Linked DNA regions of Neodiprion lecontei. Each later gene encodes a partner of the first gene's protein in a complex. Links are inferred from orthologs where the notes say so. Each region holds a gene or a part of one and is shown on either strand. Other genes may lie near its edges.

Region 1 (8,423 bases):
CCCAGAATTGGGTGAGATACGCGACGGAAGTAAGAGACGATCGCTTACCTTTCAGCCAAACGCAGCATCACCCTCGAAGACTGGAACCCTGCAAACTCGAAGCGTGACTGCGTCGCAGCTGGCGACTGATTCCCCGGCAAAGATGAACGGGCATTATCACGATTCTCCAGGTTTGTCTCTATTACCACTATTTCACTTCACGTTCACGTGGCTGCTTTGGGATGCTGACATTGAAACATTAGAAATCATATAATCACGCAATAAACTCCCATATTCATGCTAACGGTAGTTGGATAATTTGTTGTCAAATCATTTTTTCGGGAAAAAATATCACCTCGACTAACCGAAATCCAGTCTGATCAAAATATAGTCGAAGCTGCTATTTTGATCACGGTATCAACATCGGTCTATTTTTATTAAAATCATTTCATCCTTATGCAAGCTTTTAAACGACTGATCACCGCCGATAATTATATGCTACGCAATCGGCGCACAATGCGTACACAAACGTGACAATAACACGACACTTGGTGTAACTTTCGTTCACTAGATTATCGAACGTAATATACCGTACATCAAACTTACAATATTCGCGATTGTACAGCAGGAATGAGGCAAGTCCGCGCGACTTGTGTCGACAACCGTGTTTGAAAACATCCTTTAAGGTGACCCCGCTGCTGCGTCCTGGCACCGAGTTGATTAAAGTCGAATTTTACCCGCAGAAACTTCATTTTACCGCACACACAAATCACTCACACTTGAAACATGTCGCTGAAAGTTTATCGCACATACCTATAATACGGCGTCGTGACAAGTTTAAATTAACTAATATTTCCGCTCGCGACCGACAGCAGATTGCGCACGCGTCAAACCATAGACTTCATCAATCGTTGACTGCGGCGAACTAACTGAGAAGGGAGAAGTTTCTCGGGCCAAATTTCTGTCGCAGACGGCGCTGCGAGCAACTTTCGTAACTTGGGCTGGATTATCACGGGCAGCAAAATGCCGCCGCAACAAGCAACGCTACGCTGCGACAGCGAAAAACTGCCCGTGAAAATCTCGCCTTAGCTTCGTTCCTACAAAACAGTCCAGCCATTTTCCGACGAATCGAAATTGCGGGAAGTTTTAAACATATGTAAGTACATAGGTACAAACACGACCACGTTGATGTTAATAAATAAACATATGAAAAGCTAATATTGTAATATGTTCGTCATATAACATCAACGTTTCTACCTACTTATATGTGTTTAAAACTTCCCACAATTTCGAATCGTCTGAAAATAGCGGCCAAGGTGAAAGAGAAATACCGGATTCTTTGTTGCGATTCTAACGTACCTACCGCGTGTATTATGCTAATTTGAACTTGAAGAGAGCATACCGAACGCTAATCTCATCAAGTATTTCATCGCAGTTTGTCAACTTGGTTTAAACGTCCAGCGTTAGTCCCGATGTGAACACGTAGCCATTATTTGCAAGGCGTTCGAAGGTCTGAGACCGAATAGAAAAACTGTATGGTATTTGGTGTACGAGGTAGTATTATGGGCATAGGTGGTGGAGGATGGGGTGAAGGCAGAGCAGGAAGTCTAGAACGTCCGCCACCCCCGCCACATTCGCACAGCATATCACATAACGTTGGCAACCTGATGCACATGGCAGGTCGGTACGCTTCAAAGGGATTATCGCATGCTTGTTGTGTTTGTTCTACGTATTCGCAGATGCACAAGCAGGCGAACCCATAGGGTCCGCCTGTGTGCAGGCAACCCGTGCTACTCTGTTGGCATCGGTTGCCCACGCACAGGCGTATCGAAATTGCGCATCTGCGAAACAATCCGATATAAGTAGAAATAAACAAGTAAAACTAATCACATTTCATACAATAAATTAACAAAACATGCTTAACTGCTTTCACGCAACAGGACGGATGTAAGAGGTAAGATTACTCTATTCGCTGTCACGTATTTGAGACGATGAAAAATGTTTTAAAACTACCGATTTTTTCTTATAATTAATGTATGTTTGCATACTAATTCGCGATGTTATTATTTCAACATTGCTAATGTCTGGCTCATGATACGTCTCATTTTGATAACACGTATGAATGCAGATTTTTTTTTTTTTTTAATCTACAGGAGACTTGGGTAAGGCTGTCGAGGAACTGGTCACAGTAATGACGGAAGATCCGTCAAGAACAAACGGGCAACGAGGACCACCACCGCCGCCAGGATTTAAACCATAGATTATACACATATTAAAATAACATCCTTGGATATTACCGAGATGAGACGACTGTAATTTATCCCTTAAATATATCATCTATTTAACACATACATACTATAGGTATGTACGGTTTATAAACCTAATTGTAAATGACGACCAAGAACGAGTCTGGCTCTAACGCATATCAGAGACATATTGAACGTAGTTTAACTACGTGAAATGCAGGATCAGGATGAGGGCCGCCAGCGTGGTTTTGGGTATTTTATAAGTTTTGATATACAATTTGTATAGCTGAATTATAATTAATATGTAAACTGTTACTTGGCTTGGCTTTGGCGGCTCCCCTGCAAAATAGAAGAAGAAATCAACTACATATTGGCTTATCATATCACGGACCTATCATACAAAGAATCAATTGTTAATGCTTAGTAGCTATAAAATATGAAGATAAAATATTATAAATATATATAAAATTATTATTAACAATAATAATAATAATATTATTAATGCATGAAAAAGCAATGTATCAAACTGCATACTCTGTAGAGTGTAGACTATATTTACATGACCATTCTGTTTAACCACTGCCATTAAATTTTTTTTAAAGGCAAGAATCAGAATAAATAAAATCAATCAATTACCGTAGAGTTTGAAAAAGGCCAATATTGCAGGTAGCACACAAGTGAAAAAAATAATGAAATTTTTAAGTTGAAGTAATCATTTTGTATTCAATAATAATAAAAGAAAGAATATCACATTATTTTGATTTTATTTTGAAAAGCCTCTTCCGATTGTGTACTACACTAATTTTGTAAGTTTATAACCGAACGTTAGTAAAGAGAAATTTGGGAAACAAATATATTTTAAACTACGTAGCTTTCGAATGGCATGGGAGATTCTCTTGATACTGTTCGGATAAAACGTTCCGTAAAATTATTGAAAGCAAGAAAGATAACACAATGATCGTTATTTTTTTCATGGAACCGTAGCATTACTCCAAATCATGTTCCAACAGCGATTGATTGGATATATTTTGAATTGTCACATTCCGCAATAAAAGTATCGACCCTGTTATTTTTTACATTCTCCTTCGTACCATGTATATCGTATAATGTAAACTGTTGTTACGCCCCCTAAGTTTTTCATAGTAACACTAAAATCAAAGAGTAAGTAAAATATATCGGTAAAACATTTAAATGTATGTACAAAAAACGGGATCGCTGTTTGAATGACACAACGTCGTTTAGAAATAATTTCGTATCAATTTTTATTCGTAGCGGTGGGACGCAGAAACTACACTGTATATAACTGAGCACGAAGTTCTCGTTAGATATTAAACAGAGCCCACGCGTTAATAAAGAAAAACATCTTTTAATTCGTATCACTCACCTGTAATAAGTCTTCTATAGGGTATTATCGTTAATTAACGGCGTACCTACATACCTATGTATGTATACTTAGTTACGCAACGTTTACGTTGATGCAACAGTGATTTAGAGGTCATATCTCGTGAAAATATGTTAATTATTGTATTATAAACATAGTCATAAATTTTCAGTATATCGTAGTACATAATACATTGCCAAATTATAGCAATCTCAGTCAAAATGTTCTTCAAAATCGTGAAATCGACATGATATATATGCCCTGCTCATAGTAATGCCTCGTTAAAAAAATAACCATCGTTACCTTATCATCAATATTTATATTATTATTATTATTATTATTATTATTGTTATATCTATTATTAATATTATTGCTATTACTACAACTACTACTGCTAATGCTACTATTACCATCATGTTGTTGTTATGATTATTATTATTATTATTAATTGAATATAATTCTTAAGCTAATATCACAATGGCTTGAGACAGTCAAGACTTCCAGCAGTTGTGCACAAACATTATTTTCTTAATCCACGTTACTTTGTTGATTCGAGAATTGTATACTTTATAATTTTTTATACATTAATAATATATGAATAGATCTTATAATACAATACACACGTTTTATATACCTATATACGGAAAGAGCATTTTTGCAGCGGTTGAACTGAGGAGGGAAGCAAAAAAAACATTTATGAATTTAACCGCAACTGTTTTGTTGGTTTTTTTTTTAACCTTTTTTAAACAGTTTTTTCATTTACGTCATGTTCTTGTTCTTTTTTTCGTTCCATTTTTCCTGGCTCGTTACACTGTCTTTTTATGAATGTGCTATTTAAAAAGGAAAAAAAAAAAGAAATGAAAATGTCAATTTTCGCTTTGTTATAATTTTTGCTCGCAAAGATAATTTGAAACTTATTATACGCGTGATGTAAGCGAGGAACACACATATCATCTGACGATAAATGTTCCGATTCTAAGTAGTCCGGAAAAGGGCGCTGCCCGGACAAACATTATATTTACAATAAAATGAAAAAGAGAAAAAAAAAGCAACGACGCTGCACGCCTTTTAGAAAAACACTCTTATTACCCAATGTATTGGTAACAAATGACTTACGAATTACAATAAAATAATTGTTAACAATGCAAACACTATATTATTATTTATTCTTCTTTTCAACCGTTCCTGATCATCGATTGATTGATTGATTGATTCAATAATTTTATGCTAAATGAGTGGCAGTATGCTGGGAGAATAACTATGATTTACAAAGGCACTGCCATTTCTATATCTTATGATCTAAAAAAAATATGTCAGGCAAACGTATTTTAAAACATAAGTACACCTGGAAAAAATGAATCATAATTTAACATAGTCAATTGAATTCGTTTTCAAAAATATTTTCTCTAATTCAAATATCTTAATGATCTCATCGTGTCGTTGCAAGAATTTATAAAACTTTACTAATATGTCATATTCGTGAATTAAAATGCCACGGAGAGTAGCTTACAATTGCTCTGATGTTTGTTTGTATGCAAAATTTCGTTTTTTTATTGTTTTTTTTTCTTCATTATTTTATCTCTTGTTTTATTCGTGCCTACGAGCGTAACGTTTTATTCGGAAAAAATGTGACCGTCACACCCAAAGATATTTATCACTTTGTAATATTATTAATAATTATGTAAGAAAAACGCATATGAGTAACGAAGTATTAACTGTATTAGCTAGCTATTATTACAACGCTCTTGAACAGAGAGGTGTTGTCATAAAACAATATTGTAAAAGACTATTACTTTGGATGCAACAAAGGTATAAATTATTACATGTACAATATAGACACAATACTCTGTTCCCTGTCCTCGAATTGAAGTCAACTGCCGCTTTCGAGGTCCGCTATCTCATGATTTAACTCAGATGGTTGAACATATTTACCTATAATTGATCTATGTATATCTTGTGTTGTCTTTGGTAAGACGGATTCGAAATTCCGAATGGTAAGAGTTCGTTACAGACCCTTGTCAATTTATTGAACGTTTTTCAGACCTTCATCCAGGACTCAAATGTGTTGGTGAAATTCTTGATTGTAGTAAACTTGGATAAAGTTTGGACGGATAAATATTATTTAAATTGTAAACTGATTCCTTATTGCGCATAATTTTCATAGTTGGGGTTTTTTCATCAGACGTAATCATTATTCACTATGTTCAATTACCTGTCGGTTTTCGACATTCTATAAACATGTGGTTAAAGTGAGTACTGGATTAGTCTGAACACTTTTTCCTAGACCGGGTTTATCTGATTATGAATTACGGAAATTTTTTTTTTTCCGATCAGTAATTTCTGAGAACTGATTATTGATCATTTCAACTATTACTAACTCGGAGACGGACGCTAGGGTGACTCGAGAAGAAATGCCCTAGCACGTGCAGTCATTTTTCTAACTCTTCCTCTACTACTGATACTAATGGCAGGTTCGGGTACGCTTTCGTCGCTATCTTCGTTATAATATCGCCGTTTAATTTTTCGCCGATTTCTTATAGGTACGGAATTACTTTCATCGCTATCTACGTTATAACGAGGTCGTTTAACAGATCTTCGAGGTTGGATGCCGGTGTCTTGACTGTCAGAATCTCTAGACACTCTCTCGTTTCTTTTACTTCTCGCAGTTTCGAAGGGTACATCCGACGTTTCACTGTCACTATCTTGATTGATACGCAATCTTTGAGCTGCAGATTGTCTCCGAGTTTCCTTTTCGTCCGATTCATCGTCGCTTTCCTCTTCCTTACTTTTTTCGTCCTCGCTTGCGTCTTCCTCTTCCTCTTCATCGTCATCTTCATCTTCGTCTTCTTTTTCTTGTTGCTTTGTTACATCTTGAACAGGCGCGAGTTTTCGCAATTGTCTTTTCGAACTTCTCGTAACAACTTCCTCCGCCTCGCTTTCATCCTCTGTACTTTCAGGCTCCATAAACTGATTATCTTCATCCTCGTCATCATCGTCATCCGCAACTACGAACGGTTTAGCTTTTGGTTTATTCTGTCGACTAGACTTTCCATTCTTAGCCCTATTTTTTCGCGTCTGTTTGCCACGCCCCCCTGGCTTGTAACTATCCCCAGAATCACTATCACCCGCCCCATTGCTAACCACGGTCCTCCTCGCCGCCCGAGTTTTCCGCATCGGAGCACTGTCACTGCTCTCACTTTCAATCGTCGCTTCAGAATCATCACTTTGATCGCTATCGCTGTTACCATTCTTTTTACTTGGTGTCACCTTGCGAGATATCCTGAGACTAATCTTTGGACGAGATCCGCCACCAGCTCTGGTACCATGACCGTTAGCTAGTCGAGAGGGGCCTGACAAAAAAGAAAAAAAAAAATAAAAAAGCCAATTAAAAAGGACAACGAATCATAAGATTAACATTAAATACTCGTGTCTAAGCTTCGTATTCAATTACCAGGTCCATCAGCATTCTGCAAAGTCCTGGTGGTTTTGGGTGCCAATTGTCTTTCATTTTTGTCGACATTATTAACATCCATCGCCTCTTCCTCCTCCTCCTCCTCCTCCTCCTCTTCTTCCTCTTCTTCTTCTTCTTCTTCGGCACTGCTTGGGGGTGGTCTCACTCTTGATGAGCCTGTGAAAAGATAAACAATAGTGAATAATGAAAATACTATATAAGTAATAAAAAAATGACGTCATAGCACGCCTGCATCCAAAGACAAGAGTGAGTGAATCTTACCAGCTCCGTTAGTTAAACGTGCAGAGGTCTTCCTTTTCCCTTTAGCCATCCCATTGTTGATTTGACTGCGTCTCCTAGCAGACTTCCAGTTGTACAAAATCCTTCGCATATGTTCCTCAAACATGGCGGAAAGTCTTACTGTCATCGAATATATCTGTCAAGATAATATAAAATAGAAATGAAGATGTTATTGTTATGCTCCACAATAGTCCAACCGTTTGGACATGCCAAAATGAAAATAGCCCAATTGTGGTGAAGTATGCAAATATATACAAGGTTGAAATATGCGCATTAAGGGAGATCCTTAACAAATAATGACGAGATTTGTCGTACAGGAATTCATTGATTATTGTGGGGTATAGACTAGAGTAAGATGGACGATTGCGGAGCAAGAAGGTGTATTTAAGAAATTGACCGTCGTTTTTAAAGGAACCAGCAAAGGAGCGCAAGCAATGGATTACTATCAACGTCACAAGATAACTATAAAAAATGAATAACAATCTAATGTTGTTAACAAATTGATTAAGAATCTTCGAAATGATAGGCATAATATATTAGAACTGAAATTGATACTGAAATATCGATGGCAGATCTTGTGTACACTGAAATTGCATCACCAATGATTAACAATAAATGAATGCGACTTACCAGAATCTGTGTCTACGTCAAGCAGCAATGCAATTATACAATATTTAAACTGCTATCATGAATAACACTGCAAGTATTACTTAGCAGAATGGAACTAGCTGAGTAGTTAACTCTTTTACGTACGGTACGATTATTTTGTTCATTTTTATAGATTTTACCATCAGGATTTATCAAGCGTGCTAAATTAAGTAATTATCACTAGCGTACGTTTTGTAGGTACATTCTGGTAAGTGGCTAGTTACCACAGTGTGAAAAATAAATGTGATAAGAACAAATAATCGGCGATGTTATCTTGTGTAATATTGTAAAATCGGTTGTTTCAACAAAAGTTGTTCAATTTCCTGATATACTTTTGGTCCAAAAGTATTCGTCAAATTTACAACATGACATTGGAATCGGTTGGAAATTGATACAAGTCACTCACAATGCTTGATAT
Region 2 (9,118 bases), on another chromosome or scaffold:
ATCAGGAGTAAATACCGGACTACACAGCGATTCCCGATCATAGGCAACTGAAGGTACAAGTTCACTGATTGTGAGCCGCTCCGAGTTACGCCGGGGCGACCCGAGCGCTATCGGTTTCAAGAAAAAAATCCGCAATTCGAAGTTCTGCTCGGTGTACATGGGTACCTTGAATTGCCTATAATTAGAGATGTTTACGCTGCGCATGTAGATTTGCCGGATCACGTTTGGTGTTTACCAAACTCTACCTGAAGGGACCTAGCAGATTAACGATCACATTCAAAATATTGGCCAGTTACAAGATTCTCTGACATTTCAGATACTCAATTATCATACGAAAATTTACCACTCGGTAGAGAATAAATTATAAAAATATCTTTCCTATCTCCGTAAAATTTTCAGATATTGCTCAAGTGAACGCAGTTATTTATCACTTGAGTGTTAACTTGTAATAAAGGTTCGGGATACTTATATACCATGTTAACCTGTTGTAAAGGACTTGGGTTTAATAATTGTAAGGGTAAAAATTTGCGACGCATATGTGTATTATCAGTTGTTCTTATAATTACATGGTATTACAAAAACGCGACGCGTTTACATCATCATCGTCGTCGTCGTCCTTATTTTATTGAATACAAGAGGAATCTGTTTACGTGTTAGGATTAGCGTTGGGTCCGCGACGACGACCGAACGTTTGCACTACGTTAACGAATCGTCGGTTGTACTGTATTCTCCTCTTAGCACGGCCGGTCTTCTTCTTCTTCTTTTCCTGCTTCTCAACCTAAAAACGGAGAGATCAGTGTGATTATTATGTTTATCATTACAAATGGTTATTGAAATGAAGTCGACATTTCTTTCAAACTATTGTTACCCACCTTCGGAGTTTGTCCCTTTACTTTTCCAGCACGAGCCAAGGATCCGTGCACCTTACCTAACGAACAGGGGAAAAAATATCGATAAGATAGATTCAGATATGGAAATCATGATGGTAATGATGAAAAGGTATGTTTTGTCGCAATTTCATGAAAGACTAAAGCCAATGATAAACTATAGACTCACTTTAAACTGCTTTGTGATATCGCATTATTGCTCGTTCCGTTAGATGACAAAGACCATCGAACAGTTTATCATTTTAATGCATTTTCTTCAAGTGGGATTATATTCCAGATAATATCAGTAGATGACTTTGTGGGGCTTCCACAGATCTCAAAGTTGCAAAATTCCAGGCATTCGTTTACAGTGTGTATAATTTTCCAACAAAACAGCTATTGCTGACACAATTGAGCATCAGAGTGTCACTTTTTCACAAAATCAGTAAGAAATCGACACAGAAAATAAAACAAGATCTCAAACAGCGAATACTTTCTCAACGTCGAAATACGTTTGACAACTTAGCGGAGATCGAAAACAGCTGGACGTTCATTACCGCTAATAGAGTTCCATATAAGTTTGCATCGTTGCTTAAATATCAGACATAAGACGATAGCAGAGGTAGAAAGTCGACGATGCATAGTGAAGAAACGAAACTAGAAGTAAACATAGAAGAAAAACTCACCTCCAAGCAAGGGCACGGTCAAGTCCAAGGATAAGGCTGTGAGTTCGGAGACAAGAGCATCGTCTTCCAAGGGAGCTCCTCCGCAGGAAAGGCTGAGGCTACCAGCGTCAATATCTTCGATGGCTGCTACTTGCGCCTAGAAAATAATTCACGACAAGTCAGAATCGAATTTAGGGATCCGGAAAGAAAATACTAAATTTTGTAAGTTTGTCTTGTTCAAGGTCTATGAAAAGCCGGAAGTAATTATGCAACTTCGGGCTCCCTGAGATCTGGATTAATTTTAATCTGGCATTATTGCTCATTCCAGCAAAAGAGGATTCCTTGTCGCCGGGTTATCATTATAATGCTTGACAGGCCAATTAAAGAACTCTTCCAGAACTTTCCAAACTTTTCGGGATAATCTGGACAGCAAATCGTGAGGCTCACCTTGATGTGACCGATGGTTTCATCGCCATGGCACTCTATGACATGGGACTCCTGTCCGCGGATGTGTAACTGCATGATGAGGTCTGTCTGGTATGAAAAATCACACGATCAGTGTCACGCCGTAAACACGTGTGGTTAGAAAAGTGATCGGGGCTCCAACGCTATCGAAACGGTCTTTGCAGGTTCAAACAGCTTCGTATATTCAGAATCGATCAATTATACGACGTCTAAGCTTTTCTCGCCACTATTTAACCCCCAATTCAATCACTAATCAGTATATTTCGGTTAACAATATGTCTGACTCACCTCCAACTACACGGTCAGGATGCAAAGAACGGCACCGGAAACAACGCCATTGAACGCCATCTGGCACGGAAGTATCGTGAGTCAATTGAGCACTGTTTCAGAAATAATTAACTGTGGTTGGGTTACAATAATGTAAGAACTAAATTATTACGCAGGGTTATTTTTGGATTCACAATTCATTAATATTTTACAAGTCTGTTCTTTTTTAGCATTATTTTAACAGTTTCATACCGAATTTGACCAGTCTATGGACAAACAATGATGTAGGGACGGTGCGACATGACTTTTACGCTGACTGGTGATAAAAATGTGAACTTAGTGGGCGGATTTGTTAAATTTTTATAAATCAACTTTCGTAATGTCATCGTTGAAAATAATTTGTTGCATCCGTGGATGCACAAATACGTTACGTCGAAAACGTTTCAATAATGACATTCCGGAAGTTGCTTTATAAAAATTTAATAAATCCTCCCACTAAGCTCACATTCTTGCCACCAGTTGGCGTACCCTATATAAAACATGGCCGCCGAAAGCGCGAAATTTGAATTTCGGGTGGCAATTGTTGCAAGATCGATAGTAAAAATCGATGAACGATACACCGAAATCGTTGACACAAAATACGAACGGAGTCGATATGGACCATTTGATTTTTGTCAACTCAGCGGCGATCCAAAGTCGAGACGGTCGAGACGCTGTTCCACATACAAATCGAGAAATGTCAGCACGTGATTGGCCGACGTAGCAGCTGATCGCCGTGCCCGAGCCCCGAAGACGGTGTTCCCGTGGCTGTCCGTAGCAGGTAGTAATCAGTCCTCAACGTGAATGAATCAGACGTACACGCGGCGTTGTGTTATGAGTTGATAAATAGATCCCCGTATTTATTATGGTGTATAAAGTGGGTGAAAATACCGTGGAACAATATGTTCGTCAAGTTTTACAGAGCGCTTCTGACCCTCCTGCATATTTCTTACGCGTTTATCACCCTCCTGCGGAAGGCGTGGACGGACGCGGCTCAACTTGAACTATTTAACCTCAGTAGAAGCAAAGTCCTTACGGACGCCGATTACCTCGTACGTTGCGTTCGGAGGGTCGATCAGACCCGCCTCCCGAAGCATCTTGTCCTGATTCTAGGACGCGAACGAGCCTCGCTTCGCGATATCGTCCGCGTTATCGCGTGGTCGGCAACCGCCGGCATACCTTGCGTCAGTTTCTACGATTACGATGGTAATTATACGGTACATGTTGCATGTGACAACTGTTAACCGACGGTGCAACCGTTCTGGGTTTGCAATTTATTATTCACCTCTTATCACTTCTTCAGGTATACTGCGAAAGAACGAAGAGGAAGCCAGGAGAGCGCTGGCTAAATTCAAACCCGAGCTGGTCGATCATGTCAACTGGAATTCGACGTGTCCAGTGAAAGCCGTTAAGAACGGTCTCAATGGTACATCTGCATTTTCAACTTGCCACTAAACGCATCACAGAAAATCTATCACTTATAGTCATAACTTTCATTCAACGCTTGCTTTAATCGCTCCAACGTGTTTCAAAGCTGCACTCGATCTATGTCTCCTGTCGCGTAATTGAGTTAAAACTTTCTCATGTATCCCAAAGGTTCGGTACTGGTGAAATATAATATTTGAAAACCTGCACGCAAATCGAAACTAATGTCATAAATTTCCCCATTTTTATCCCATGCCCTGTGGCCTGAACTGAATTCGATAAAGATTTTTACCGCATTTCACAGGTGTGAAGCACAAATTGCAAGTGCAGCTATTGTCCTACACAGATGGAAAAAGGGAAGTGGCACTACTCACACAATCGTTGGGAAAGGGGGTAATCACTGGAGCACTGAAGTTGGAAGAAATCAATTCTGACCTTCTTGAGAACAAGCTAGAACTCGGGGGACTCCCTGATCCCGATCTAGCTGTTGTTTGTGGAAAAACGTGTAGCACGTATGGTCTACTTCCATGGCACATAAGGACCACGGAATTCCTGTAAGTTGAGCAATAGGTGACTCCAAATCATTAATTATTAGTACTATAAAAAAGTTGTCGCTTTTGGAAACTGCATGGCGAACGTTATTTTCATTCAAGTTGTAACTTACTTTGTAATTCGATATGCTTGGTATGTCTTTAAATTATTTATTATACATTTACTTTTATAGCCTATTGGAGAGTCATCACAATATACGAGTCAATGATTTTGTCAACCTATTGGAGAAGTACGCAAAATGCGAACAGCGGTACGGGAAGTGATGAAAAATTGCTAGGATCTTAAATTTTAACACGTCGTATCATATGGCTGTCAAGAAAATTCAACCCGGTCAATCGTCACAGGTTGTTGTATCTATACATACGAATATAGGGGGATTCATACTTCGTGCTGAACTAACCATGGATCAAAAGACTGAAAAGAGGAAGTTAATGAGACATATAGGTAACACTTGTTTAGTGCAAATATACAAATATCTACGTAGTATGTACAGCCAGGTGTACTATTGTTTTTTTTTCTTGATTCTATGATATTCCGAGCCCCGGTGAATAGAGAAGGACAACTTCTACAGGCAAGAATGTAATTATTTGTCCCACGTGTATGTACAACATTTCGCAGTTCGTTGGTTTTAAAAAAAATAAAAGGGAACAACTATTCCTTACATCTCTCAACTTACGTGACAACCTGTATTGCTGAGCATATTTACTTACTTATATGTTAGAATATGAACAAATAGTAAAAATTTTGGCAGACAATCGGTAAACATTTAAACATTTGCAATCACTGTACAAGATGTCCTTCTTCGAGTCTGCTTCAATGCACCGTTCTCGTGCTGACAATTTTGTTATCGGGAGTAGTAATTTCTTATGCTGCAGTATAGAAGGTATTTATACGACGTTAAATTAATCTAAATTAATAATCAATAGATGCGTATGAAATTAAGGAAATATTGGATGAATTTTAAGTGTTATTTGCATACGTACACTGATAATTAAACTGATGTTTAATATAACACCAGCCACCTATGCTTTTTTAACAACCAGGAATAAATTCATCTAACTGTAATGTATTTTTGTTCAAATGGTACAATGGAGCAATTTTTATTATTATTGAAATTTTATTTTCACGAATGAAATTTGTCATGTATAAGTATAAAACAAGCTTCAGCGCGATTTCCGACACTTGAAAATATTCCAATATTTTGTAGCAATTAAAAAGGTGAAGAATAAATTATGGAGCCGTACGGGAAATATTGATCTAGCGCGAAAAATTATTGCGTAAAATTTCTAGGTGAAACGCATTGTAAGAAAAGTTCATTTCAGATTAATTATCTTAAGAAATATAAAATCTGCAGCTTAGACAGTATTCCTGTCTTGCTTTCCCCGACCGACAACAAACTACCTATAATATGTATTCACAACAGTGGTATGTATCGTGTGATGATGTAAATTATTATAAATCATAAGTATAAAATATTCCATGGAAAAAATTTGTGATCATTGGTCAGATGAATCGACGTGTGTGTATATACTGCATCTAAATATTGTATACATAAATTATATAAATAATAAGAAGATATGTGAACGTATCATACAGTTTAGAATGGGACTGATCACCCATGAACCATATTCCAATAAACTACCATAGTATTTCATGATAATTAGCTGCGTTTTATTTTCTTTCCATAATTGGTTCGATTAAGTAGATTTATCTGTTAAAGACAAGGCCTTAAAATAAAATTCATTTTCCGCTATATCTTAAGAAGGTAGCAAGAAGAGAATAAATTTTTCTCGGATCTAAGTGATTATAATATATATTTATTATTTACACAAACGCTTTAGTCCGTGTTAACGTTTTAAATTATATATGTATAAGTTTTGGCAACTGACTGATATCAACTTGAACTGTAATGGGACACTATTACTATTATTATCATTCTTATTAGAAGATTATCAAGTCATGTGCATCTCATTATTCGTTAAAAGAACAGATAGAAAGAGAAAGGAAGAGAGTGAAAAACGATGCTAAGTATATTTAAAAGAAAACTGTACCACTGTGTTGAACATTGATGAAACAAAGCGGAAGTTTTGTAAAGCTGGAAGTGGTTCTGCGGTATGAAGTAGACGTGTTTGCCAAGCCAATCGTACCAGCTGAAACAAAACGATATTCCAAAAACCTATTCTGAACACTTATATTGGCCTGGTTTGTGATATTTTTCGTATTTTCTTTTTTGTCTTGTTTTTTGTATCAGCAAAAATCGAGACGAACGATTCGATTCTAAAACTTTGCAGATAATTACTCTTGAGACGCTATCGACTAATTACTTTATGGAACAGATTAATACAGATGATCGATTTCAGTCGGGTACAAGAATTGGGTTTTTGCTGTTTGGATGGTTTTCACCCGACGAAATGTAAAATAACGTATGGCGTCTGTTGTGAACATTCATGTGTCCATGTAGATTAGAATAATATATTATCCCCCTTGTTTTGTGAAATGTCTACCGTATCTCTTATCGACAACCAGTCATTACAATAGAATCGCAAACACACAAAAAAGCAAGCCCGTGATTGCGTATTTTTTGATATTGTCATCTATGGACCAGTCTGTTTTAATCTGTGATCTCTAATAATAAGAATATAAATACAACCTTGGTTTAAAATGGTGGACAGGTTCACTCCCTGTACCGACGCGATGACTTCTTACCGTCACGATGGCTCGAGTAACGTGATTTGGATCGTGACCTCCGCTTATCTCTAGACCTTGAACGGCTCCTCTTTTTGCCTCTGGAAGAATAAGATCTAGACCTCCTACGATCCCTTGATCGCGACCGAGACCTCCTCCTCTCCCTTGAACGGGTTCTACTCCTTCTCCGCTCTCTCGTTCGAGAACGACTCCTTCTTCTTTCCCTGATGTCACGAGATCTGGATCGAGACCTTCTCCTGTCCCTAGAATGGGAATTCGATCTCCTCTTCCCCCGTGAACGTGTTCGTGATCTTGTTCTCTTTCGATTCCTCGACCGCGATCTCGAGCTTTTTTTGTCCTTGGATCGCGACCGCAATCTTTTCCTTTCCCAAGATCTCGATCTGTGTTTCTTTCCTGACCTATAGCTGCTCGATCTTGAGCGATGCCGTTTTGGAGTTTTAGACTGCGACTGCGACCGCGACCGCGAGCGAGACCTGTGTCTGTGCCTGTGGCCATGATCGTTATCGGCCGATCGGGATCTCGAGTGTTTGCTTCTCGACTTGCTCCTGCTCTTTGACCTCTTTTTTCTCCGATCCCTCTCACTATCTCTATTAGATTTTCTGCCCGTTTTCACAGAAGCGAGACTGGAACTGGAGCTGCTGGATTCGCCACTGCTAGACTCTGAATCCGCCGATCTTGACGGCGACCTCGCCTTTGCTGTATCTGTGGTAACACTTCGCCGCTGCGGCGTTTGTCCGCCGCTTGATAGTGTTTCTGATGCTTCTCTTTGATTATTTATCGTTTCTTTTTCATCAACTAAAGTATGACGTCACAAATTACGCTCTCAATCATTTTCAAACAATAAAAATATTATTTTGTGTAACGTACCTAAGTCATTGCTGCTAGTATTACCCATATGATTATCCTCTTGCTTGTTATGACGACCATCTTCCTCCTGCTGCTGGTGCAACTCCTGCTCCTCGTCCTTCGCAAGCTGAGCCTCTATCTCCTCCTCCACCTTCTTGAACGCCTGTTGCCGTCGCTTCCAGACTTCCTGAAATAACCAACACTGATCATACTGTTGATCTAATTCTTCAATTCATATAATTATCACGCAATGTACCGAGCATACCTTCAGTTGCAGCAGTTCCTCATCACTGTCGACGTCCTGCTGCTCTTCGTCTTCGCTCTGCTCGTCGTCAGACTCGCTGTCGCTGGCCCCATAGATGCCCAGACCTACCACACACGAACTCCCAGTTAAATCAGACTCAATGATTAAGATCACGTAACTCTTTGTCGCACGCAACCACCATTGAATCCGATGGTTTCTTTTTTTTTTCAAAAATCATTCCCACAGCCAGACAGAGACATAATGAAACCAGACGTGCGATGGAACTATGTTTGAAATCTAATAACAACTCTGAAATCTTGGCGAGAGGTCTAACTCAACATATAGTTGGACGAAGAGTGCTTTATTATTCATAGTCTCGGATCTCAGAAGGAAACAAAAACCTGCTCGCCCAGATTATGCACCAAAAATTATTATAAGAAAAAAAAAGCCGATACACAATGAAACGAGTTATAGTTCCTCTCGCAGTCTCTCTCTTGGGGAGATATCGTATATTTGGAATAAAAAAACTTACCAAGTTTTCGAGTGATCTGAGCAAGAGGGGCCGAGTTGTTGAAGGATGCGACGGGGGGCTGTCCTGCAGGGGCTTACAATACACACGCATTTAGTAACCAATCTCGTGGTGCCAACCACTTTTCTGGGCACCCCCTTCTTTAAACAGTCCCGAACCGGCCTGCGATAGGGAGAGTTTTCTCTCCCTGTCCTCACGTTAAACATATTCAACGTATTTTATATACAATACTTAATATCCTCAGACTGAAAAGAGTTCGGATTATTGCCTATTTTATGATTGAACTTGTTCAAACAACTCAATTAAAACAACGTCATGCCGTGTGTATGTAAAAATATCGATTAAGTAATAGCTAAGGGGTGAATCTTGCATGAAATTTTAAATACTAACGCGATATTAATGTGTCTGAAACGCCCTGATACTCGCGCACTTATGCATAAGCAGTAGAAAGTTATGGTTCGCTTATGACGCGAAAAATATACTGTAGCGAATGAAGAATGATTAATTGGAATTA

What was found.
Region 2: the proteins of dehydrodolichyl diphosphate synthase complex subunit DHDDS (region 1) and dehydrodolichyl diphosphate synthase complex subunit nus1 are in contact, whole or in part, in a crystal structure (PDB 7PAX), measured with the Homo sapiens proteins. The link is inferred for Neodiprion lecontei from reciprocal best matches to the Homo sapiens genes DHDDS and NUS1. Residues at the interface, in NP_995583.1 of Homo sapiens: Arg37, Arg38, Glu81, Asn82, Lys84, Arg85, Arg159, His160, Ile162, Ser163, Val166, Arg167, Met169, Ala170, Trp171, Val173, Glu174, Pro180, Ser181, Ile183, Ser184, Glu185, Leu188, His199, Glu209, Val210, Arg211, Leu212, Ser213, Asp214; in NP_612468.1 of Homo sapiens: His137, Gln138, Pro193, Glu194, Lys197, Ala198, Ile200, Val201, Ala204, Gln205, Phe207, Cys208, Gln209, Val211, Ala212, Arg217, Pro218, Thr219, Leu221, Asp222, Val223, Leu226, Asp237, Pro246, Val247, Asp248, Ser249, Thr250, Leu251, Gly252.

Annotation. Positions count from the first base shown.
Region 1 is NC_060266.1:23,979,676-23,988,098, reverse strand, and holds the start of dehydrodolichyl diphosphate synthase complex subunit DHDDS, read left to right. Parts: upstream 1-3,002; 5' UTR 3,003-3,013; intron 3,014-4,508; exon of another isoform or gene 4,509-5,997; coding exon of another isoform or gene 5,998-6,956; intron 6,957-7,057; coding exon of another isoform or gene 7,058-7,234; intron 7,235-7,339; coding exon of another isoform or gene 7,340-7,493; intron 7,494-7,987; coding exon of another isoform or gene 7,988-7,999; intron 8,000-8,423. Other genes in the region: dystrophin, isoforms A/C/F/G/H, read left to right, coding at 56-170, 1,552-1,659, 2,133-2,239; PH-interacting protein, read right to left, coding at 5,998-6,956, 7,058-7,234, 7,340-7,493, 7,988-7,999. UniProt on the Homo sapiens protein: With NUS1, forms the dehydrodolichyl diphosphate synthase (DDS) complex, an essential component of the dolichol monophosphate (Dol-P) biosynthetic machinery.
Region 2 is NC_060262.1:1,018,033-1,027,150, forward strand, and holds dehydrodolichyl diphosphate synthase complex subunit nus1, read left to right. Parts: upstream 1-2,901; 5' UTR 2,902-3,204; coding exon 3,205-3,508; intron 3,509-3,605; coding exon 3,606-3,728; intron 3,729-4,031; coding exon 4,032-4,281; intron 4,282-4,451; coding exon 4,452-4,542; 3' UTR 4,543-5,939; downstream 5,940-9,118. Other genes in the region: uncharacterized protein LOC107228169, read right to left, coding at 647-778, 873-928, 1,553-1,688, 1,979-2,053; arginine/serine-rich protein PNISR, read right to left, coding at 6,954-7,780, 7,853-8,018, 8,097-8,200, 8,608-8,679. UniProt on the Homo sapiens protein: With DHDDS, forms the dehydrodolichyl diphosphate synthase (DDS) complex, an essential component of the dolichol monophosphate (Dol-P) biosynthetic machinery.